Macaca fascicularis: one gene and its partners. The protein of the gene in region 1 interacts with the protein of each later gene in a pairwise test. Links are inferred from orthologs where the notes say so. Each region holds a gene or a part of one and is shown in the gene's direction. Other genes may lie near its edges. The genes, in order: TNIK, SPTBN1, PDE4DIPP2, PPM1E, CLU, NEFM and AKAP9.

Region 1 (3,500 bases):
TGCAGAGCTGTAATTGTAAATCCATGACAAGCTCCAGAAATAAAAAGCCAGACTGGTGAGATGGTCAAAGAAACAGCATGAAACCTTGCACATGCCAGCCCCCAAGAGGGTAGGGAATGTGCTTGCTTTGTTCCCAGCTGTTCCATGTTCAGTAGAATGCTTTACATTTAGTAGGAACTAAAAACTTTTGGGTCAATGAATGAATGAAAGAAAAGACAGAGAGGGAAATCATTACTTAATCAGATCTGCTCTAAGAATCCTCAGTGAGCCAGTTGCAGAAAAGTTAAAAAGTGCAACACTAGTCAGGCCTACAATGTGGGCACTGGCTTTTGGAAACCAGAGTTGTCTTTTAATCCTGCCTTTCCTCCCTGGGATTTTTTGGCAGAGACTGCTCTCCAGAGCAATGGCTTCCAAACTTGTTAGGTCATGTAATCCTATCAGTAAAACTATAGAGCATCTCACCTAATACAGTGTATTTATTCACAAATCATACATTTTTTTCTACTGCACTAACATTATGTACATTATAAAATACCTTTGGCCAGGCAAGGTGGTTCACACCTGTAATCCCAGCACTTTGGGAGGCCAAGGCGGGCAGATCACAAGGTCAGGAGTTCAATACCAGCCTGACCAACATGGTGAAACCCCATCTCTACTAAAAATACAAAAATTAGCCAGGCGTGGTGGCACGTGCCTGTAATCCCAGCTACTCAGGAGGCTGAGGCAGGAGAACTGCTTGAACCTGGGATGCAGAGGTTGCAGTGAGCCGAGATCATGCCACTGCACTCCGGCCTCGGTGACAGAGCGAGACTCCATCTCAAAAAAAAAAAAAACTTTAAAGGACATTAAAAAGGGTTACTAGAAGTGATGTTTCAAATGCTTTGCTAGTTATGATGACTTTATTTTGTTACTGCCTACATCACAAAGCACCATAGTTCTTTATTGAGACATTAAACATTTATGTAGATAGTAGTTGTAAATCCATATTTTCAAATAGTATTCTAGATCATGTCAATATATTTGGAACTCCTGTCAGATCTGATTAGTTAATCATTGTTTTGACCTTGTGAATGACAAAGAGCCCCGTGAGTTAAGTATGGTCTCTGCACTTTCTTGGAGTACTCCACACACACTGCTTCTTTTCAGCAACATTTTAGGTCATTTCTCTGTTGTGTGGGTTTGTTTCATTATAACCTGGTAATATGATCTGTAAATATAATTAAGTGGCAGGTACATACAGCACAAGCACTACAAAAGAGTTTACAAGTGTGGGCCCTGCTCAGTCCCTCCCTTTTGTAGCGTCTCCCCCTTTACATGGGACCCCATGCCATATGTGACCACTGTCTATACCTCATGCAGGAACGTAAGGCTTCAGGCTCAATTGATAAACCAAATATTGGCAAAGCTTACTTTCTTTTTTGTTTTCTTAAGTAAAATAGAAATTTGAATATCACCTTCTTGCACCCTAGCGGGTCTATTTGGAGCCCCATATGCCTATGCCGTGTAAGGGCTGATGTCACTCTTTGGCCTTTTTCCCCCCCTCTCTAACTCCTCTCACATGCTGTGCTCCCTCAGACGTCTGGAGAGAAGCGATCTGGCCACAGTGACAGCAATGGCTTTGCTGGCCACATCAACCTCCCTGACCTGGTGCAGCAGAGCCATTCTCCAGCTGGAACCCCAACTGAGGGACTGGGGCGCGTCTCAACCCATTCCCAGGAGATGGACTCTGGGACTGAAGTAGGTGCTGGGCAACAGCTGGCATGACAGTTCTGCTCTCCTTCCTGGGGTTCTAAAACCATGATCTCTTCAAGAATGAGGCTTCACCAAGCTCCTTGAAACTTGTTTGGTTGGTTTCTACTATAGAGCTGCCTGTGCAGGTACTCAAATGGAGAAATCATGGAAGCAGAACAGTGAAAAGTTCTCAGATATCATCTGAACCAATACTTGTTTCTCCAGATGAGTATACTAGGTTCATAGAGGGTTGAGTGACTTGTCCAAGACACACGGCTGGTTTGTGACAGATCTAAGACCAGAACTGGAAACTTCAGGCTATACAGATTTCAAGGACAACAGTTGAGGTTTATATTTGCATTAATTTAGTCAAACTAAGTATGACTTAAATAAAACAGTTTAAATGATTTGTTTATGAAAAATAAAATTTAATAAATAGATAAGTTCTTAAAGTGTTCATCTTCATAAATTCAAAATTGTGTGAGAATGAAGAAACTAGGTATTACCTTTCCTGTATAGAAACAGTCCCAGGAAAAAGTCTGAATAAACACAATCTGCAGGTAGTGCCCATAGACGCTGATGACTGACACCAGTTGGATGAGTTCACAGTGTGTGGTCATGTTTCATTAATAGTCTTGTCAATCACACGTAAGGTCCTAAATGTGTTTATAAAGCACATGTACTGTTATTTTTGACATTGTCCACACACTAAGTTTTTATGATGCACCCTTTGAATTATAAAGTTATAGTGTAGATGAGCTTTGCATACCCCAAGGAAAAGAACACAGTGGTATATTGCAAAGCACAGCATCTTATTGTAACTTCATGCTGTGTGGGCATTTTCTGCCTGAACACCTCTCTTGGTGCAAAGGAGGACCCCATAAGATTGAACCCTAGTTCAAATTCTGCTGCTACCCCAGCTCTATGTGGAAATGTTACTGCCTGCCCTACCTCTTTCACAGACATCTTCTAAAGATCAAAAGTGAACATGTATGTGAAAGTGATCTATTTGGTAGGGGGAATTCTACCTTGAGGAGGATGAAATGGTTTTGGTTTCATAGGATGGAGAGAAAAATCTTGAATTAAATCAGATTAGATCTTTGTGGTTTTCTCCTTACATGTTTAGAGGTCTTGGATGGTGGTTTTATTTTTAAATAAAACTCTAAAAGTAAAACTAAAGTGAAACAACCTTTAGTTAAAGATATTTATCCAAAAAAGATGTGCTTATTATGTTGAATACAGATGTGTTTGTGATGTGAAAGGACAAGAAGGAATGGACATGACTGACATTGTAGCTTATTCAGCAAAACTCAGATTTAGAATATTGTGACATGAAACCCTGATATTGAGTTTACTGTTCCCTCGTTTACTTCTGACATCATGTTTTCATGGTGCCATTCAAGCCCAAGATTCCTTTTTTAAAGTAAGCCTTCAAGGTACATTGCTCACAAACCTAATATACTCATAAAGTCCCTAAATAATGATGTAAATGTAATTATTATTTTAAGGAAACTATCATGGGAATGAAATATCTTCAATTCCAGCATAAAATCATCCCTGAATTAATGATTTTAAAGCTTTTGGAGCCAACACCAATTCGCTTGCATCGCCAGGCCAGAGTAGAAGAGCTCAAAGCTCTCCTTCCCAAGAGAAAGTCCCTTGGGTTGACTCTGTGTTCAGGATAAAGTGCTGCTGTGGAGGCTTCCTTACTTAGTTTATTGCCAATTGTGTCAGCCTTTCATATTGATCATGTGGTCAATATAGGAGAT
Region 2 (3,500 bases), on another chromosome or scaffold:
AAGAAACACAAGGACGTGGCGGAAGAGATTGCCAATTATAGGCCCACCCTTGACACGCTGCACGAGCAAGCCAGCGCCCTCCCCCAGGAGCATGCCGAGTCTCCAGACGTGAGGGGCAGGCTGTCGGGCATCGAGGAGCGATATAAGGAGGTGGCAGAGCTGACGCGGCTGCGGAAGCAGGCACTCCAGGACACCCTGGCCCTGTACAAGATGTTCAGTGAGGCCGACGCCTGTGAGCTCTGGATCGACGAAAAGGAGCAGTGGCTCAACAACATGCAGATCCCAGAGAAGCTGGAGGATCTGGAGGTCATCCAGCACAGGTGAGCGGGGCACTGCCAGTCACTGGCCTGTTCCTTGTGACCACTAGTGGCCCAGGAGGTGACCACCCTGTCAAATTGCCGTTTCAGATTTGAGAGCCTAGAACCAGAAATGAACAACCAGGCTTCCCGGGTCGCAGTGGTGAACCAGATTGCACGCCAGCTGATGCACAGTGGCAACCCAAGTGAGAAGGAAATCAAAGCCCAGCAGGACAAACTCAACACGAGGTGAGCACGCAGCCAGCAGCCTTCCAGCCTCCCACGTGTGGGGCTGGGGAGGGTGAGGTCACTCACTGAGCCTTGCTGTTGGGAATTTCCCACATGGGGTCATTGACATTGCAACACGATGTCGTGGCATTGGCACCTGCGTTTTGACATGTCCTTGTTTTGTAAGAAGTGTCTCTCAGGGCAACATCGTTGGTTGCAGGAGGATGATCTGAGCCAGCCCAGCACCTGCCCCTCTGCACACCAAAGTTAGGGCCTTGGTGTGACCGGTGTCCAGTGTAGAAGGTATTAAGATGACACCTGTGCTATCCATTTTAAAGTAACTTTAGGAACAGGACTCTAGCATGTTCAACACTTAATTTGCCAATGGAAAAGTCCTGATTGTCAGGGCAGACCTTTGTTCTGGTCTTATCTTTTTGTTGAGTAAACATGTTTGAGTAGGTTGTGGCATCTGGCCCTAGTTTTGAAGGTTACCATCAGTCTTAGAGTCTTAGATTTGGAAAACATTCATTAGGTGGAGTTCAGAGATGTGTAAAATGTGTGTTGCAGACATGAATTAATTGACTCTGGGAATGGATGTGTTGTAATTGCTCACATTGGAGCTCTGTAACACATTCCTGTTTGTGACAGGCTTTTTCCAGATTACATTGCATCCCTGAGCCATTTCCATTATATATGGTGTTCGTAGTCTGAGTGAGATAATTTTCCAAAAAGCATGTACTCAAAGCAAAGATGGAGAAAACAGATAAGCAGCATTAACCCCATTACTGTTCCTTTTGCAATCCAGCCATGGTCGGTCTTCCCTTTTTCACACTCGCTCTCTGCCCCTGCACTTACAGGTGGAGCCAGTTCAGAGAACTGGTTGACAGGAAGAAGGATGCCCTCCTGTCTGCCCTGAGCATCCAGAACTACCACCTCGAGTGCAACGAAACCAAATCCTGGATTCGGGAAAAGACCAAGGTCATCGAGTCCACCCAGGACCTGGGCAATGACCTGGCTGGCGTCATGGCCCTGCAGCGCAAGCTGACTGGCATGGAGCGGGACTTGGTGGCCATTGAGGCAAAGCTGAGTGACCTGCAGAAGGAGGCAGAGAAGCTGGAGTCCGAGCACCCTGACCAGGCCCAGGCCATCCTGTCTCGGCTGGCCGAGATCAGCGACGTGTGGGAGGAGATGAAGACCACCCTGAAAAACCGAGAGGCCTCCCTGGGAGAGGCCAGCAAGCTGCAGCAGTTCCTACGGGACTTGGACGACTTCCAGTCCTGGCTCTCTAGGACCCAGACAGCAATCGCCTCGGAGGACATGCCAAACACCCTGACCGAGGCCGAGAAGCTGCTCACACAGCATGAGAACATCAAGAACGAGATTGACAACTATGAGGAGGACTACCAGAAGATGAGGGACATGGGCGAGATGGTCACCCAGGGGCAGACCGATGCCCAGTACATGTTTCTGCGGCAGCGACTACAGGCCCTGGACACTGGATGGAATGAGCTGCACAAGATGTGGGAGAACAGACAAAATCTCCTTTCCCAGTCACATGCCTACCAGCAGTTCCTCAGAGACACGAAGCAAGCGGAAGCCTTTCTTAACAACCAGGTAAGATTTGTTCCTGCCTTTGCTTCCTTTCCATGAAAGCAGCCCTGGCTGCCTTTTGAAATGTTTTGGCTGGGGCAGCTGATTTAACCCACACCTGTATGGAATTATATGGATAATTTAGAGACAGATGTTTTTCCCAATACTCTTGAGGCACTGAAATCCATCACATTGTAGGGGACAGGAATTGAAGATTGCCATAGGAGCTGCTTTGCCTTACAAAGTACTATTTGATTTCAACTGCCATTTAGGACATAGTATGTCCTCATAATTGAGGTATTGATCCCATTTAAAAGATACAGTGAGGGCCAGGCATGATGACTCACTCCTGTAATCCCAGCTTTTGGGGAGGCAGGGGCAGGAGAATCACTTGAGCCCAGGAGGTCAAGGCTGAAGTGAGCTGTGATTGTGCCACTGCACTGCAGCCTGGGTAGCAGGATGAGACCCTGTCTCTTTAAAAAAAAAAAAAAAAAAAGTACAGTGAAGGTTTTTTTTTTCTTGAGACCAATCTGTCTTATTGCTCTAAAAGGGTCAGGGACTTCACCTGAGGACACAAGGCAGCGATTAGAGAAATAAAAACAGCTGAGGATAGTCACCAACTTCAGGGCTGCTATTGTCTCAAAGAGAGGGTATGAAGGGTACATTACTGTTGCCTTGACGGGCACGTGAGAGAACCCTTGAGGCTGATGCACAAAGCTTTGGTTCCTTTCCTCAGTCACTTTGGAAAAAAAATTTAGAGCATTTAAACCCTGAGGAAATTCAGTGAGTTACAGTGTCCCACTGGGTTTTTTTACCTCCTAATTTTTAATTTGATGTGATTTAATTATTTCATGTAAGTGTAATGAAGAAAGTGTTGTGAAGTATGTTGCATGGAAATGTAGAACACAGGAAAATGAGATCCTTCATTGATCCTTTATGACTTGTTTCTCTTTTTAAATAAGGAGTATGTTCTGGCTCACACTGAAATGCCTACCACCTTGGAAGGAGCTGAAGCAGCAATTAAAAAGCAAGAGGACTTCATGACCACCATGGACGCCAATGAGGAGAAGATCAACGCTGTGGTGGAGACTGGCCGGAGGCTGGTGAGCGATGGGAACATCAACTCAGATCGCATCCAGGAGAAGGTGGACTCTATTGACGACAGGTACAGTTTTCTGAGGTTCTTAAGGGAGACTTGCACGTTGGGGCTCTCAAACTTCTGAATCATTGGCCAGAAGCCCTTGGGAGTGTGGGCATAAATTTCCCAGTGGGCGGAATATAGGTGCCCAGCAGAATTTCATCTACCCAAACAGAAAATTAGTGAGCCGTGCATGACTGCCTGAGAATGTGGTTCTGGTGAGACATGTACAGGTGTCCACAAAAGGA
Region 3 (3,931 bases), on another chromosome or scaffold:
GTGAGCCCGGGAGGCGAAGGTTGCAGTGAGCCGAGATCGCGCCACTGCACTCAAAAAAAAAAATGGCCGGAGGTACCTGCATCCCACCTAGTCAGGGCTCTAGCTTCCCTCCTCTTTGTGTGCAATCCAAGTTTTAGACCCAAGGGTGGAGGACCTACCACTGTACAGTGCTGAGTAAGACAGGGTTCTCACCGAAGTCAGCGAAGTTCCCAGTCCTTTCTGGCGCGAGCTGCATTCCCAGACACTCCAGCTCTTGCCGAAAGGAGCTCCGTCTTTTGCGCTAGTGTTTGTCTACCCTCCCCTGCCCTAAAATAATGAATGCCCTCTACCTGAGGGAGAGACTTCAGTGGCGGTAATCTACTCGCGGCTGGCTGCATCCTTGAAAAAGCACATTTCCCTTCTACTATCTTCAAGATCTTGGTTAACCAGATTCACATTGTATTTGCAGGACGCTTTCTCAGGTGACTGCTCAGTGCTCTTTTTTACCGAAAGTAGGGCAAAGTCCCCCAAGGGTGCTAACCCTCCCCCACCCACATCAAGGAAGAAACAGTCCTCTACTCTTTTCTGGACATTCCGGTTCAGAGTCGAGGTAAGGGTTGCATGGCCCCGCCCCACCCGCCCCTCCGTTACCAAGCCTTCCCCCGCCCGCCTCGCAGTCTCAGGGCCTTAGAACCCAGGCGGGGCGAGGCCGGGAGAGGTGGGGCTGCTGGCTGGAGGCGGCGGCGGCGCGCAGCGGTACCTAGCGGCGCTGCCCGGCTGGCAGCCGGAGGACGTGGCACTGTCCGAGGATCCAGGGGGAGGGGATTCGGCCTTCTCCTCCCCGCGAGGAGGAGCCTCGGGACATCCTGCAGAGGCGGGAGGATCCTTGAGGGCACTGGTGCGCCTTTCAGGTGAGCTCTTAGCAGATAAAAGCGGCTGGCTGTGGTCCGCGCCAGTAGTGCTTTCTGCTCTGCACTCCCAGTGAGCCAGGTGCGCAACCGGAGTGGGGGCGAGGGGCGTGCTGGCCACCCCGCATGCGCAGAGCCGGGAGCCCGCTGACCGGACTACAGCTCCCAGAGGAGCCTTGTGGAAGCCGCAGACGTGGAGCCGCTGGCGCCATCTTGAAATCTGATCCTCAATCCCCGAGCCTTTGAGTCTGCGCGGCGGGCCGCTGCTGCTCCGGGAGCCCAGTCTGTTAAAAGGGTAGGACGTTGAGGACGCGGCGGCTGGCGGGAGAGACAGCTGGGGAGAGACATGGCAGGGTCGGAGCGCGGCCTGCGCCTCTGTCACTCAGCATCCTCTTAGACGTTTCCACGCCCGCCCCCTGCCCAAGGGGCGGGGCTGACGGCTGTGGTACCCGGAGCCGGCGCACGGGGTAGGGGTGCACCCCTGCAGAGTGAGGACCCCACTGGGCTGTGCCATGCTGACTGGAGACCACTGAGGCGGGAGACAGAGCGCGGCGAAGAGCCATTGAGTGGTCATCCAGTAGCCGCCGCCGCCGCCGCCTCAGGAAGCTTGGCACCCGCTAGGAGGGAAGATGAAGGAGATTTGCAGGATCTGTGCCCGAGAGCTGTGTGGAAACCAGCGGCGCTGGATCTTCCACACAGCGTCCAAGCTGAACCTCCAGGTTCTGCTTTCGCACGTCCTGGGCAAGGATGTCCCCCGCGATGGCAAAGCCGAGTTCGCTTGCAGCAAGTGTGCTTTCATGCTTGATCGAATCTATCGATTCGACACGGTTATTGCCCGGATCGAAGCTCTTTCTATTGAGCGCTTGCAAAAGCTGCTACTGGAGAAAGATCGCCTCAAGTTCTGCATTGCCAGTATGTATCGGAAGAATAACGATGACTCTGGCCCGGAGGTCAAGGCGGGGAATGGGACGGTTGACATGTCTGTCTTACCTGATGCGAGATACTCTGCACTGCTCCAGGAGGACTTCGCCTATTCAGGGTTTGAGTGCTGGGTGGAGAATGAGGATCAGATCCAGGAGCCACACAGTTGCCATGGTTCGGAAGGCCCTGGAAACCGACCCAGGAGATGCCGTGGTTGTGCAGCTTTGCGGGTTGCTGATTCTGACTATGAAGCCATTTGTAAGGTACCTCGAAAGGTGGCCAGAAGTATCTCCTGTGGCCCTTCTAGCAGGTGGTCGACCAGCATTTGCACTGAAGAACCAGCGTTGTCTGAGGTTGGGCCACCCGACTTAGCAAGCACAAAGGTACCCCCAGATGGAGAAAGCATGGAGGAAGAGACGCCGGGTTCCTCTGTGGAATCTTTGGATGCAAGCGTCCACGCTAGCCCTCCACAACAGAAAGATGAGGAGACTGAGAGAAGTGCAAAGGAACTTGGAAAGTGTGACTGTTGTTCAGATGATCAGGCTCCGCCGCATGGGTGTAATCACAAGCTGGAGTTAGCTCTTAGCATGATTAAAGGTCTTGATTATAAGCCCATCCAGAGCCCCCGAGGGAGCAGGCTTCCGATTCCAGTGAAATCCAGCCCACCTGGAGCCAAGCCTGGCCATAGCATGACAGATGGAGTTAGTTCCGGGTTCCTTAACAGGTCTTTGAAACCCCTTTACAAGACACCTGTGAGTTACCCCTTGGAGCTTTCAGACCTGCAGGAGCTGTGGGATGATCTCTGTGAAGATTATTTGCCGCTCCGGGTCCAGGTATACAAAACGGCTACACAGTGCCTTTCTGATTATAGCTAGCTGGCCTCTGGCTTCACATGATTTCGGTCTAGGTGGAGGTTAGTAATATTCTAGACTTGAGAAAATTAGTCATGAGCCCATTTTTGCTGCACCTTTTCTGTGTCTCATTTAGTAAACGTGATTCGTACTCAGATAATTTGCTTTTCACAGTCTTTGTAAAATCTGTTGGCCTTCCCATTATCAAAATTGTATACCTTTTAAAACAAAAAGGTAAAGATTCCCACTTCACTTTTATCCTGTAAAAAGAAGACATTTAATCTCATTTCTGGCACTAGAACTTTTCCTCTTATCTCCTTTTCTTTCTTTTTTTTTTTTTTTTTTTTTTAACAACTTTTAAAATTTGTTCTTGTTTTCAGATTTATAGACGTTTCCTCCCAATGGCTTTCTGTAAGGCAGTTAGTTCTCTAGTTAGTTCTTCCCAGAGCATTGAAGCTTTCATCCGCAAAATGCCTGTAAATGATTAGAGCATAAGGTAAAAGGTTTGGGGGAAACCTATTAATCCACCAGTAAAGTATTATAACATCTGGACAATATTTATTATAATGAATAGTTCATTTGAGGATTAGTGATGACTCATTCATAAAAGAGACAGGAATTCAAGTATTCAAGTACAGTATTGTCACTCAAAACGTTAAGGCATAAACTGTTCACAGCCAGAACTCTGCTGAGTTCTACTGGAAGATATTTGATATTAAGAAAGGATTAACCCATTATTGGATCAGAGGAGAGTTTCATTCATTATAGTCTTGAATTCTTAATGACTAGAGGATGGCAGTTGCTTAATTTGAACCATTCATGTCTGCCCAATTGATTCTATACCAACCTTTTAAATTCAGCTATGGTAGTTTGTTTCTATAGCAACAGTAAATGCTAGGTTCAGTTAACTTTGTGAAACATACTGGCATGTTCCACTTGATACAACTTATTTAGCGATACTGTCACAAAGGTAGATGTGATCTAGAAGGCATTTTTAGAAAGCCTGCTACTGGTCAACATCATTCCAGAAATTTAGAGCTTGATAAGTAACATTGTTGATGGTCACATGAAACTTTTGGAAAGTAGTTCTGTGGTATGTATACTTTCTTTCACCATAAGAACCTAAGCAGAAAACAGGAGAAAAGTTTTTAAATTTACACAAAATTATGAGTAGCAGCATAGATGAGAAACAGCAGAGATGAAAGTGTCATGAAAGGTAAAAAGTCAGTGCGTTTTCATTTGTATAAAATGTATGTACTTCTTTTCTTTTGC
Region 4 (3,500 bases), on another chromosome or scaffold:
CCCAGCTACTTGGGAGGCTGAGGCAGGAGAATGGCATAAACCCAGGAGGCGGAGCTTGCAGTGAGCTGAGATCCGGCCACTGCACTCCAGCCTGGGCGACAAAGCGAGACTCCGTCTCAAAAAAAAAAAAAAAAAAAAAGGCCGGGCATGGTGACTCATGTAATCCCAGCACTTTGGGAGGCTGAGGTGGTTGGATCACCTGAGATCAGGAGTTCAAGACTAGCCTGGCCAATATGGTGAAACCCCATCTCTACTAAAAATACAACAAAATTAGCTGAGTGTGGTGGCGGGCGCCTGTAATCCCAGTTACTTGGGAGGCTGAGGCAGGAGAATCGCTTGAACCTGAGAGGCGGAGGTTGCAGGGAGCTGAGAATGTGCCATTGCACTCCAGCCTAGGTGACAAGAGTGAAACTCTGTCTCAAAAAAAAAAAAAAATTGGCCAGGCGCAGTGGCTCACACCTGTAATCCTAGCACTTTGGGAGGCTGAGGCAGGTGGATCACGAGGTCAGGAGTTCAAGGCCAGCCAGTTGGAGACCATCCTAGCCAACATGGTGAAAACCTGTCTCTACTAAAAATGCAAAATATTAGCCGGGCGTGGTGGCGGGCACCTGTAGTCCCAGCTACTTGGGAGGCTGAGGCAGGAGAATGGCGTGAACCCGGGAGGCAGAGCCTACAGTGAGCCAAGATCCCGCCACTGCATTGCAGCCTGGGTGATGGAGGGAGACTCTGTCCAAAAAAAAAAAAAATTAAAAAATTAGCCAGGCGTGTTGGTGGGGGCCTGTAATCCCAGCTACTCAAGAGGCTGAGGCAGGAGAATAGCTTGAGCCCAGGAAGTGGAGATTGCAGTGAGCCGAGATTGCGCCACTGCTCTCTAGCCTGGACCACAGAGCAAGACTCTGTCTCAGAAAAAATAAAAAATAAAAATAAAAGAGACAAAACCACAAGACAGGATTTACTACCCTGTGCTATGTTAATGAGGAAAAAAAGGACAAAAACTTGAGGTCAGCTTTTTTAATACAGTCATTTAAAAAATAATTTTGAATAAGAAAAGAGGTAAATGTAGTCACAGATTAAGGCAAAGACAGTACTGAGAATGAAATTGGTAGTCCAGGTCCCAGGCTGTTGTAGAACATATAGTCTCTCTCTTCTTTGGGATTTGTATTCTAGATTGGAGGAGGCATGTGTAGCCATTGCCATCTGGCACTTATTTTCTCAGGCTGTCAAGCTGTATCTGATTTAGTTCAGTAAAAAGAAAATTTAAGTTCGATTTTTTTTTTTTCACCTGAGATGTAAGAGGAACTTCTAAAATACTGGCCTGAGAAAACCTAATCTCTCTTTGGTTATTTCCGTAGCTCAACTTAAGTGGAGGACAACTTGAGTGGAGGGTTCAGTGATAGGAAATACAATCTCTTCAGTATCATTCAGTGTTGCTTAAAAGGCTTACACATCTGTCCATCTACTGAGGGTACATGTCTACCTCAGAAGTCAGCTTGCCAATTCTACCCAATAGGTGAAGCGGTAAACACAGGTGAAGCGGTAGGCTTAGGGTCAAGAGACCTGTTAGTATTGCTCCTCTGGCTGCTCTCTGTCTTTTTCTATCTAGGATCACACGCATAGACAGAGTTTAAGTACATTTTCCTTAGAGTCGTATAAAAGTTTTAGCTCATTTGCTAACCTATTGGCTAAACTATTTAAACTATGGCCTAAAACTTTAATAAACAAATATATCAAACAGAAAAAACAGGCCGGGTGTGGTGGCTCATGCCTGTAATCCCAGCACTTTGGGAGGCCAAGGTGGGTGGATCACCTGAGGTCAGGAGTTCAAGACCAGCCTGGCCAACATGGTGAAACCCCGACTCTACTAAAAATACAAAAAATTAGCCGGGCGTGATGGCAGGCACCTGTAATCCCAGCTACTTGGGAGGCTGAGGCAGGAGAATAACTTGAACCTGGGAGGCGGAGGTTGCAGTGAGCTGAGAGAGAGCGCCATTGCACTCCATCCTGGGCAACAAGAGCAAGACTCTGTCTCAAAAAATAATAATAATAATAATAGTAATAATTTAAAATATATATATATATATATATACACACAATTCAGTTACAAATGATCATTTATAGGAGAAAAAGGAATTGGATGTAAAGGAAGAAGTCAGGGAGAAAGAGGACAAAGACAAATGGTAAGCAACATACACCCTTCTTATTTCTGTAGTTAGTGGGCTGTTTTCATAGGCCTTCCATATTCCAATAAACACAGTATTTATCCAGCTAATTGGACTATGGAAGTAGTGTTAATCACTGCTTATTTTTCTAAGCATAGGAGGCTTGGCTCTCCTGGTGATAACCATAGCAAACAACCAAAAAGGAACCGGCGCTGGGAACTAGGGAGCAGTGTGGTGAGAGCACTTCTCCAGCTGGAAGAAATCAAGCCAGGAATAGGTCCAGCCCTGGCCAAAGGTTTTCTCCTCATGACATAAGAATATTTAGTGGCAGCTGCAGGCTGATGATTTTCTACTAGATAGGTTGTGATTTTCTCTCTTCAGAAGCAGCATTTCATTTTTCTTGAGAAGGATGAATTTCTTCTATTAAGGAGGAACTTGACTAAGGTGACCTACTTCTGTCTTTACCAAGCAGAGAAGTGAAAAGCAGTTTTACAAGGCTCTTCATTGGGGGTTTCTGTGTTTCTTTCACAGAGATTGAGACAGTGAAATTGGCCCGTTCTGTCTTCAGCAAACTACACGAGATTTGCTGCAGCTGGGTGAAAGACTTCCCCCTCCGCAGGAGACCCCAGCTTTATTATGAGACATCAATCCATGCCATCAAAAACATGCGCAGGAAAATGGAGGACAAACATGTCTGCATTCCTGACTTTAATATGCTCTTCAACCTAGAGGTAAAGGGCACTTCCGGAGAGTCAGTGAGATTTTAAAGACAAAACAAACACCTTCATGGTCCTGTTAGAAAAGGAAAACTTCTGATATATTTCTAATTGTATCTTTGGTAGATTAGAGTAGCGCTAAATGCAAAGTGGCACAAATTTGCAACAGAAAAGGAACTATTTTATGTTCTTTTGAATAGGTAATGCGTTCACATGGTTCAAAACTGGGAAAATAAAAATGTCTCTCTTATCCTTGCCTCCCAGGTACTCAGTTCCCTTCCATGGAGGCAAGGTAGTCTTTTGTGTCACTTTCCTTGAGACCAGGAGTTTGAGACCAGCCTGGGTGACAGACATAGTGAGACTGTCTCTTAAAAAAAAAAAAAAAAAAAAAAAAATTTTTTAAATTACATCTCAATGAAGCTGTTTTGTAAACCAAACCAAAAAACCCAAACTATTTCTATAGTATAATCAAATGGTGTATTAAGTTCTCACATTACTATGTTGCTAAAGCAACACAAACACAAAAGGAAGATTTAAGACTGATGCAGTTTATTTCATGTGATTTTCTTTTTAAAATCTTGGTCTCTGAGATAGGAAAGTAGCTGAAATTATATTTCATGAATCT
Region 5 (3,500 bases), on another chromosome or scaffold:
GAAGCTTATCTAGTCGGGTTGATACGGTTAGGGTTAAGGCAGGCACACTGCACCCCACGTCTTCCTAGAGTTCTGGACTACTTCATGAAGAAACATCTTAAGCCCAGTAGTGGATATAGCAGGTCTAGCCTGTGCTTAATGATTCGACAAAACTAAAACACTATAATTCAATGAACAACTTATTTAAGAAATCAAGTCTCCTTAAGAGTATCCTACAAACCTCCTCTCACGGTCGCCCTACTTCAGATGCTAAGATGTAGCTACCTGCCAGCTTCATGATCCATCATGCATGTTAAAAGCATTTCAAAGGCTCTGAGATGTTGTGCAGTAAAGAAACCTGTGTAACTCCATGAAACCCAGAGTTTTCCAAATTGACCAGGGAATTCATTTTTTTTTTTTTTCTGGCTGCTTTGAGCACAGCTCCATGGAAGCCACTTCAGGGAATGCTGGCCTGGATGCAGCTCTACCTTTTTTTCAAGCTTCATGCCCTTTCTTGGCCTCAGTATCAGTTCTCAGCGTTCTTTTTTTTTTTTTTTTTTTGAGATGGAGTCTTGCTCTGTTGCCCAGGCTGGAGTGCAATGGCACAATCTCAGCTCACTGCAACCTCCACCTCCAGGGTTCAAGTGATTCCCCGCCTCAGCCTCCTGAGTAGCTGGGATTACAGGCACGCGCCACCACACCCAGCTAATTTTTTGTATTTTTAGTAGAGGTGGGGTTTCACCATATTGGCCAGGCTGGTCTCGAACTCTTAACTTTGGCCTCTTGGTCTGCCTGCCTTGGCCTCCCACAGTGCTGGGATTAACAGGCCAGTTCTCACCATTCTGTGAGAATCCTCAAATAGCTCCTGGGGAAGGAGCATGTCTCATGCTCACACTTTTGTGGTTATCACTGGAGTTTGACCTTCAACAATTCTGGTTTTATAATAAAGCACATCACATTTGGAGAAAAGAGCGTGTCTCAAAGAGCTACAACTAAGAGCTACTTCTTAGTTGAGGAGTAGGTGAGCCAGAAGGAAAGGAAGTAGGCAGCATGGGTGGCACTTGTGTCTTGGCTCAGAGGGAGGTGGGCTGTCTTTGCCCAGCAGGGAACAGGGGATGATGGAGCAGGACAAAGACCTCACGTAACTCTGGGGTGTGGATAGGCTAATTTTTTTTTGAAGACTAACACACTTATTTATAGAGACTTTAATATAGAAAAGTAGAAGAGGAAAAGTTTTTCCATAATCCTTTTGCCCAAGGACAAGTCACTGTTAACATTTGATCTATTTCTTCCTATTCTTTTCCTCTGTGCTTTTTTGACAGTGGCTATGCACAAAATTATGAATTTTTCACATAAACAGTACATATGATAATATTCAAAATGGACTATAAACATCCTTTGTAATGATGTACCATTTACTCTTTGTAGGAACCACAGTTTGTTTAACCTGTCTCTTTTAAGCATCTGGGTTGATTCTGATTTTATTTTTTTTGCCATAAGTTAATACTGTACCGAATATTTTTAAGCATCTTTTTCTTTGTCAGGGGATTCCTTTGAGATAGAGTCTTTGTTTTGTTTTGTTTTGTTTTTTGAGACAGAGTCTCGCTCTGTCACCCAGGCTGGAGTGTAGTGGTTTGATCTCGGTTCACTGCAACCTCCGCCTTGTGGGTTCAAGCGATTCTCCTGCCTCAGCATCCCAAGTAGCTGGGAGTGCAGGTGCGCACCACCACACCAGCTAATTTTTGTATTTTTAGTAGAGACGGGGTTTCACCATGTTGGCCAGGCTGGTCTCGAACTTCTGACCTCAAGTAATATGCCCGCCTTGGCCTCCCAAAGTGCTGGGATTACAGGTGTGAGCCGCTGCACCTGGCCTGAGATAGATTCTTAGAGAATTATTGGGTCAAATGGCAAGGACCCATTAGAGAATTTTGACAGCTGGTGTGGCTTTGGTGTTGAAAGCCTGCCATTCCCTTTGCATGCCAGGGGGCATGGTTGCAATAGAAAGATAAGATTCAGGGAGTCTGCAGCCTGCTTTGGAAGATGAAATTTAAATACCAGAAGCAGAGAATAGAAAATGAGGCTTCAGTGAGAGGGTAGTCACTGAGTAGATGATCAGCGCACTAAATCAGAGAGAGGTGCTGTCCACATGGGTTCCAGGAGCTGGGAAGCTTCTAGGAGTTAGGGAACAGTTGGATCTTAAAGGGTGAGTGGATTCTTCAAGCCAGTGGGAAGGGGATTCCAGGTGGGTGAATGAAGGGAAGCCTGAACTGGAGCAGGGGTGCACACTTGCATGCTGGGTGGCCATCCTGTGGGAAGGCCTGCCCTGGGCAGAGGGCCTGGCACCCAGCACCTCCTTGAGTGTGTGAGCCTGTGGTCTCTGTGTGGCTCAGCCAGCCTCGTGTCTTCCTGTAGGATGCCCTAAATGAGACCAGGGAATCAGAGACAAAGCTGAAGGAGTTCCCAGGAGTGTGCAATGAGACCATGATGGCCCTCTGGGAAGAGTGTAAGCCCTGCCTGAAACAGACCTGCATGAAGTTCTACGCACGCGTCTGCAGAAGTGGCTCGGGCCTGGTTGGCCGCCAGGTGAAAAGGGACACATCAGTGGCCAAGGCTGAGTGGGGAAGGACGGGAGCCTAGTGAAATATGCTTCATTCCACATGCCAGATGCAATTGATTAGTATTGGCTGGCTGCATTGGGTCCCAGAGTGCCATGCTCCATTGGTGATGTCTGGCATGAGTAGTGAGAGTGGAGTCATCAAAAGGATGTAGGCCAGGTATCTACCTTCTCTTAGAAAACTCATGCAGCAGTGCTTAGCTGGATGACATAACCGCTTTGTGGGATGGCAGAGCCCTGTGTCCACTTATGTGGAAGGATTTAAGAATTTTTTTTTTTTTTTTTGAGACAGGGTCTCACTCTGTCACCCAGGCTGGGGTGCAGTGGTGTGATCATGTTTCACTGCAGCTTTGACCTCCTGGGTTCAGGTGATCCTCCCACCTCAGCCTCCTAAGTAGCTGGGACCAGAGGCACACACCACCATACCCAGCTAAGTTTTGTATTTTTGTTGTAAACATGGGGTTTGGCCAAGTTGCCCCGGCTGGTCTCAAACTCCTAAGCTCAATAATCCTCCGACCTCAGCCTCCCAAATTGTTGGGATTACAGATGTGTGCCACTGTGCCCAGCCAATGTAAGATTTTTTTAGTGTATTAGTATTGCTCCTGTCCTCTGCTGCAGGGCTTTTTTGATTGGGACTCAGTGAATTGCTCCAGTCCCTGAAGTCACATCAGTTGGCCCTTAGCTGAGCAGGGGGTGGATATCATTGGTGGCCAAAGATGACCGTGGATGAACCTGAAATGTTGGGCCTTGTGACTCTTATGGCCTCCCAGGTGTCTCAAAACTGTCCCCCATGGAGGGAGGTAAAAGGAAAGGGCATGGACCTGACAGTTGGGGTGCTGGGGGCTGGTCCCGCTGGGCTGTTGGTCACTTGCTGTGTGACTGTTACAGCCATGGGCAGGGCCTGGCC
Region 6 (2,924 bases), on another chromosome or scaffold:
CTTTTGTTTGTGGCTTTTTGTGTTTTTGTTTTCGTTTTTGTTTTTTCCTATTTGGCCACTAACAAGTTTTTCAGCATATTCTTGTTGGACCTAATGGATCTCTACTGCAGGGCCAAGACTTAGTAGCTGGGTGTGGTTAGTGGACTATTGGGCAAGGTTAGTCATTGTAGGGGGCAGTCCAGGAGAACCTTTCTCTGTCACTGAGTATGACGTAATATGCAAGTAAGTGATAGCAGGTATTATAACAAATTGATAGAATATTTTACTTATGTAATTCTATTTCTTCAAAGGTAGCTACTACAATACCCAGAATGTAATGAAACTCAGAAGGCCCAGAGAAATTTTTACTATGTCTTATGTTCTTTGATTTTCTCCTTAGAAAACTCCTGGAGGGTGAAGAGACGAGATTTAGCACATTTGCAGGAAGCATCACTGGGCCACTGTACACACACCGACAGCCCTCAGTCACAATATCCAGTAAGATTCAGAAAACCAAGGTGGAAGCTCCCAAGCTCAAGGTCCAACACAAATTTGTTGAGGAGATCATAGAGGAAACCAAAGTGGAGGATGAGAAGTCAGAAATGGAAGAGGCCCTGACAGCCATTACAGAGGAATTGGCCGTTTCCATGAAGGAAGAGAAGGAAGAAGCAGCAGAAGAAAAGGGAGAGGAGCCAGAAGCTGAAGAAGAAGAAGTAGCTGCCAAAAGGTCTCCAGTGAAACCAACTGCACCTGAAGTTAAAGAAGAGGAAGAGGGGGAAAAGGAGGAAGAGGAAGGCCAGGAAGAAGAAGAGGAAGAAGAAGATGAGGGAGCTAAGTCAGACCAAGCCGAAGAGGGAGGATCCGAGAAGGAAGGCTCTAGTGAAAAAGAGGAAGGTGAGCAGGAAGAAGGAGAAACAGAGGCTGAAGGTGAAGCAGAGGAAGTCGAAGCTAAAGAGGAAAAGAAAGTGGAGGAAAAGCGTGACGAAGTGGCTACCAAGGAGGAGCTGGTGGCAGATGTCAAGGTGGAAAAGCCAGAAAAAGCCAAGTCTCCTGTGCCAAAATCACCAGTGGAAGAGAAAGCCAAGTCTCCTGTGACAAAATCACCAGTGGAAGAGAAAGCCAAATCTCCTGTGACAAAATCACCAGTGGAAGAGAAAGCCAAGTCTCCTGTGACAAAATCACCAGTGGAAGAGAAAGCCAAGTCTCCTGTGACAAAATCACCAGTGGAAGAGAAAGCCAAGTCTCCTGTGACAAAATCACCAGTGGAAGAGGCAAAGTCAAAAGCAGAAGTGGGGAAAGGTGAACAGAAAGAGGAAGAAGAGAAGGAAGTCAAGGAAGCTCCCAAGGAAGAGAAGGTAGAGAAAAAGGAAGAGAAACCAAAGGATGTGCCAGAGAAGAAGAAAGCTGAGTCCCCGGTAAAGGAGGAAGCTGTGGAGGAGGTGGTCACCATCACCAAATCCGTAAAGGTGCACTTGGAGAAAGAGATCAAAGAAGAGGGGAAGCCACTGCAGCAGGAGAAAGAGAAGGAGAAAGTGGGAGGAGAGGGAGGGAGTGAGGAAGAAGGGAGTGATAAAGGTGCCAAGGGATCCAGGAAGGAAGACATAGCTGTCAATGGGGAGGTAGAAGGAAAAGAGGAGGTAGAGCAGGAGACCAAGGAAAAAGGCAGTGGGAGGGAAGAGGAGAAAGGCGTTGTCACCAATGGCCTAGACTTGAGCCCGGCAGATGAAAAGAAGGGGGGAGATAAAAGTGAGGAGAAAGTGGTAGTGACCAAAACAGTAGAAAAAATCACCAGTGAGGGGGGAGATGGTGCTACCAAATATATCACTAAATCTGTAACCGTCACTCAAAAGGTTGAAGAGCATGAAGAGACCTTTGAGGAGAAACTAGTGTCTACTAAAAAGGTAGAAAAAGTCACTTCACACGCCATAGTAAAGGAAGTCACCCAGAGTGACTAAGATTTGAGTCCACTGCAAAAGGTTAAGCCATATGACAATTTCAAAATGCATGTGATTGGCAGCTTCAAAACAGAACGGGTTCTCCCATGGGGGCTCCAGACATTGTATTTACTTTGTGCAATATGAGGGGACTGCATGCAAGCTCAGGGTGCTCCCTCCTCAGTCTTTGGGGGATTCAAATGCATGATATTGTATGTACCTGGGAAATTTGCCAATTTCCTAAGCTGTTGGAAGGGGGTCACTTAAGGGGGGATGTCTTGAGATGTATTATGCAAAGTACCAACTGAGCCAAAAACAATAAATGAAACACAGAACTCTCTTAGCCTTAAGAAAGCTATATATGAATAATTATGTTTACCTCACTGGTGCGTTTAAAATGGACTTTTGCTCATGGGAGAACCTCGTTGACATGCACAGTTTGCAATCTTATGTTGATTGATGTTAAACGTCACAGCAGTACTTGCTCAATAAAGGTCATATTGGAAACATAGTCAATTGCTGAGTCTTATGTCATTTCTTTTTTAATTTTTATTTATTTTTATTTAGAGATGGGGTCTTGCTATGTTGGCCAAGTTGGTCTTGAACTCTTGGCCTCAAGCAGTCCTCCTGCCTCAGCCACCCAAAGTGCTAGGATTATAGGCATGAGCCACCATGCCCAGCCTGTTATGCCATTTCAAAGTGAGATCTCCACTACCTGAAGCTTTCTTGCCCTAAAATAGATTTTTGGGGGGAAATCATAAGTAAACTGCACTTCTTATTGCTATTTCCCTGAGAGCGATTACTTGGAAAATGTAATTGCTGAAGATATTTTCAGGTGTCTACATCTTCACTGAGCCCGGTCTTCATCCCATAATTTTAAAATCACATTTTTGAAACAAAAATAAAAGCATCAGATACAAATAGGAATCCGGTGGGATAGAAATCTTCAGTGTTTCTATCCCAAAACAGAACTCAGAGAACCTCTAGGTAAGAGGACAAATGAAGGAGGGG
Region 7 (3,500 bases), on another chromosome or scaffold:
AGACGCCTACCAGTGTCTAAACAATTGACTAATCTGGTGAATCTTTTCAGTCTTTTTCTTGACTTCTTTGTAGCATTTGATACTTTTGATCTCTTTTATTTTCTTAAGACCTTCTCTTTCCTTGCGTGTCATGTCAGTATTCTAACATTTCTTCTGCTTCTTTCATCAGTTACCTTTATGGTTCCTCTTCCTACCCTCTTCCTTCTTTTCTGTAACCTATAACTATGAAAGCTCACACAGTCCAACACCCTGAGCTCTCACTAGACTTATTATTAAACAAATACTTATATTGAACACTTACTGTGTGCCAGATAAGTGCCAGATAGGTTCTGGAGATACAGTGAACAAATCTGACTAAAACCTCATCCTTATGGAGCTTATCTTTAGTGGACTGTGGTTCTAGTCTAAACCTCTGTCCTGTGTTCCAGGCTTATATTTTCTTTTTTGTTTTGTTTTTTGAGATGGAGTCTTACTCTGTCACCCAGGCTGGAGTGCAGTGGCGCAATCTCAACTCACTGCAACCTCTGCTTCCTGGGTTCACTCCATTCTCCTGCCTCAGCCTCCCGAATAGCTGGGACTATAGGCACTCGCCAGTAGGCCCGGCTAATTTTTTGTATTCTTTAGTAGAGATGGGGTTTCACTGTGTTAGCCAGGATGGTCTCGATCTCCTGACCTCATAATCCGCCCGCCTCGGCCTCCTAAAGTGCTGGGATTACAGCCGTGAGCCACCGCGCCCGGCCCAGGCTTATATTTTCAGTTAGTTACTAGACATTTTTCCTTAGGGAAATGTACCCCATAGTGACCCTATAGGAACCTCACAGGCACATTCCAAACTGAACTCCGTCTTCCCTTTCTCCTTCCTGCTCCAGACCCTCATTTCTAGTCATGATACCGCCCAGTTTAGAAAGCTGGAAGTCACCATAGACCACTTTCCTTCACCCTTCCCTGCACGTCTAGATAGTCACTAAGTCCTGTCCCTCTTATCTTCTAAATACCTCTCCCGCACACCCTTTACTTTCTGTCCCTTAGGCATTGCCTCCATTCAGGCTTTCAGCATTTCTTACCTGGCTGTTGAAACAACTTGCTGATAGGTCTACCTGACACGAAGATATCTTCCCTAATTTCCCCTGCTTTGTACATTACTACCAAAGGAATTTTTCCAACACATAAATTTTGTGTCGTATTTTTGCATCAAGCCTTTCATGACTCTCCATTGCCTACATTTAGGTCTGTTATTCATAAAGTAAAGCAATCTAGACTTAACAGGCAACCTATAACACCCCGAAAGGAATACACACTCGCTCAAGCCTGTGCGCCTTTTGCTTAATGTGCCCTTATCTTTTCTGCCTGGTAAATATCTACCTATTACTGAAGACTCAACTCAAGCACCAATTCATGAACTTTGTTGCTCTCGGTGCCTATTCACCCTTTATATGCATTATTCACATCCATTTGTGCTTAAGTGACCTTACACCATTTTATTTTTCCAGCCCAGCTTGGTGTCCCCAAGTACTTCTTGTGGCTCCTTGACTGAAAGACTACTGAGACAAAATGCTGAGCTGACAGGGCATATCAGTCAACTGACTGAAGAGAAGAATGACTTAAGGAACATGGTTATGAAGCTGGAAGAGCAGATCAGGTGGTATCGACAGACAGGAGCTGGTAGAGATAATGTATGTCCATTTTTAGCATCTCCATATATGAGAATTCGTGCGTGCTTGTCATTTCTGCTATCTAGTTCAAGTTTTAATCCTGTTAATGTAAAACTATCACGTACCTGATTCTTAGTAGGATCTGTAGAAAATTTTATAGGGATGACAATAATAATATTACTATTACTACTAAGTTACTAATAATTACTGTTATTTATTGGAAACCATCTCTGTACTCGACTCTGAGTTGTATACATAAAGAATGTCTAATCCGCATCCACCTTATACCTGAGAAAACTGAACTGAAGTCGTAGTCAAACCAAGATACATGTATCTCCAAAGCCAGATACTTTGCTACCTAGGCACCAACAACAGATACACAAAATGTTCAAATGTGAATCCTGACTGTTCTCTTCGGTCACTTATCAGTCATTGTGTTCATGACTCAAATAGAAGGTGCTGTTAAATTATGTCTTTCAGTCTGATAAATTACGCTGAGAATTTACTTAAAATTTTTCCATTTAAAAACAGGTATAAAATTAATTGCTAGTTTCCATAATCACCCAATATAAAGATAGAAAAGACCTGTAAGACAACTGTATGGTTAAATACATGATAACACATTTATGTGCCTTTTATAGAAATCCACTTATTATGTACATACTGGCTTGTTTTTTTCCCACTTCTCCAATACACTATTTCAGGCACAGGCTCAAAATTTGGACCCAAATGGTCTGTTAGGTCTCTTGATGTTTTTAGTTCAAAGCTCTGCTAATCTGCTAAACCTTCCCTGTGGCCAGGCTTTCTCAAGGACTTTTAGTTGTAAAACTAATGTATTTAGCAAAGGACCATGTACTTAGAGTTAGTGTATATGCATAATGTCAATTAAGATTGGCTTTGAACTTTGTCTAGGTGGGGTCAGAAAGTTGAGACTGCACCATCATTGAGCTATCTTTAATATGTTTAGCTCAGACTTTTCTTCAGAGACTTGTTCTTAAAAATCATGTAAGTAGTCTGTGGTCTTTGCAGTCTTCCAGGTTTTCATTGAATGGTGGTGCCAACATTGAAGCCATCATTGCCTCTGAAAAAGAGGTATGGAACAGAGAAAAATTGACTCTCCAGAAATCTTTGAAAAGGGCAGAGGCTGAAGTATACAAACTGAAAGCTGAACTAAGAAATGACTCTTTACTTCAAACTCTAAGCCCTGATTCTGAACATGTCACTTTAAAGGTAGGAGACATCTCCCATCTAAACATCACAGTTTGTTCTATGTTTTTGCCTTCTTTCATCTCTCACTGACCTTAAATAAATAGACTAAAGAAATTTAGGCCCAGGCACGGTGGCTCACGCCTGTAATCCCAGCACTTTGGGAGGCCAAGATGCGCGGATCACGAGGTCAGGAGATTAAAACTATCCTGGCTAACATGGTGAAACCCGTCTCTACCAAAAATACAAAAACAAAAAAAATTAGCCGGGTGTGGTGGTGGGCGCCTGTAGTCCCAGCTACTCAGGAGGCTGAGGCAGGAGAATGACATGAACCTGGGAGGCAGAGCTTGCAGTGAGCCGAGATTGCGCCACTGCACTCCAGCCTGGGTGACAGAGTGAGACTCCATCTCAAAAAAAAAAAAAAAATAGATGGTATTCAGGTTTTGTCTCTAGGTCTCTTTATTCAGTCTTTGTCATGAATGCAGGTCACAGAGGTTTGTGGAAAGGCATGCCCAGGACTGGGACCAGATTAACCTCTATTAATGGTCACAGTGACAGCATCCTGGGCTCGTGGTTCCACTTTCCCTGGTTTCGTCCCTAATAGACCAAAAGAATGTTATATGTAAGAGCATCATACTCTGT

Evidence for each region.
Region 2: the proteins of TNIK (region 1) and SPTBN1 interact in a two-hybrid assay, tested with the Homo sapiens proteins (2 studies listed by BioGRID and IntAct). The link is inferred for Macaca fascicularis from reciprocal best matches to the Homo sapiens genes TNIK and SPTBN1.
Region 3: the proteins of TNIK (region 1) and PDE4DIPP2 interact in a two-hybrid assay, tested with the Homo sapiens proteins (2 studies listed by BioGRID and IntAct). The link is inferred for Macaca fascicularis from reciprocal best matches to the Homo sapiens genes TNIK and PDE4DIP.
Region 4: the proteins of TNIK (region 1) and PPM1E interact in a two-hybrid assay, tested with the Homo sapiens proteins (2 studies listed by BioGRID and IntAct). The link is inferred for Macaca fascicularis from reciprocal best matches to the Homo sapiens genes TNIK and PPM1E.
Region 5: the proteins of TNIK (region 1) and CLU interact in a two-hybrid assay, tested with the Homo sapiens proteins (2 studies listed by BioGRID and IntAct). The link is inferred for Macaca fascicularis from reciprocal best matches to the Homo sapiens genes TNIK and CLU.
Region 6: the proteins of TNIK (region 1) and NEFM interact in a two-hybrid assay, tested with the Homo sapiens proteins (2 studies listed by BioGRID and IntAct). The link is inferred for Macaca fascicularis from reciprocal best matches to the Homo sapiens genes TNIK and NEFM.
Region 7: the proteins of TNIK (region 1) and AKAP9 interact in a two-hybrid assay, tested with the Homo sapiens proteins (2 studies listed by BioGRID and IntAct). The link is inferred for Macaca fascicularis from reciprocal best matches to the Homo sapiens genes TNIK and AKAP9.

Annotation. Positions count from the first base shown.
Region 1 is NC_088376.1:82,551,649-82,555,148, reverse strand, and holds part of TNIK (TRAF2 and NCK-interacting protein kinase), read left to right. Parts: intron 1-1,575; coding exon 1,576-1,737; intron 1,738-3,500. UniProt on the Homo sapiens protein: Serine/threonine kinase that acts as an essential activator of the Wnt signaling pathway. Recruited to promoters of Wnt target genes and required to activate their expression. May act by phosphorylating TCF4/TCF7L2.
Region 2 is NC_088387.1:67,215,302-67,218,801, reverse strand, and holds part of SPTBN1 (spectrin beta chain, non-erythrocytic 1), read left to right. Parts: coding exon 1-320; intron 321-407; coding exon 408-545; intron 546-1,381; coding exon 1,382-2,138; intron 2,139-3,076; coding exon 3,077-3,279; intron 3,280-3,500. UniProt on the Homo sapiens protein: Fodrin, which seems to be involved in secretion, interacts with calmodulin in a calcium-dependent manner and is thus candidate for the calcium-dependent movement of the cytoskeleton at the membrane.
Region 3 is NC_088375.1:114,058,758-114,062,688, reverse strand, and holds the start of PDE4DIPP2 (myomegalin), read left to right. Parts: upstream 1-1,131; 5' UTR 1,132-1,516; coding exon 1,517-2,641; intron 2,642-3,931. UniProt on the Homo sapiens protein: Functions as an anchor sequestering components of the cAMP-dependent pathway to Golgi and/or centrosomes.
Region 4 is NC_088390.1:47,741,612-47,745,111, reverse strand, and holds part of PPM1E (protein phosphatase 1E), read left to right. Parts: intron 1-2,690; coding exon 2,691-2,890; intron 2,891-3,500. UniProt on the Homo sapiens protein: Protein phosphatase that inactivates multifunctional CaM kinases such as CAMK4 and CAMK2. Dephosphorylates and inactivates PAK. May play a role in the inhibition of actin fiber stress breakdown and in morphological changes driven by TNK2/CDC42.
Region 5 is NC_088382.1:30,779,526-30,783,025, reverse strand, and holds part of CLU (clusterin), read left to right. Parts: intron 1-2,391; coding exon 2,392-2,562; intron 2,563-3,500.
Region 6 is NC_088382.1:28,099,771-28,102,694, forward strand, and holds the end of NEFM (neurofilament medium polypeptide), read left to right. Parts: intron 1-379; coding exon 380-1,934; 3' UTR 1,935-2,424; downstream 2,425-2,924. UniProt on the Homo sapiens protein: Neurofilaments usually contain three intermediate filament proteins: NEFL, NEFM, and NEFH which are involved in the maintenance of neuronal caliber.
Region 7 is NC_088377.1:129,252,132-129,255,631, reverse strand, and holds part of AKAP9 (A-kinase anchor protein 9), read left to right. Parts: intron 1-1,490; coding exon 1,491-1,673; intron 1,674-2,681; coding exon 2,682-2,882; intron 2,883-3,500. UniProt on the Homo sapiens protein: Scaffolding protein that assembles several protein kinases and phosphatases on the centrosome and Golgi apparatus. Required to maintain the integrity of the Golgi apparatus. Required for microtubule nucleation at the cis-side of the Golgi apparatus.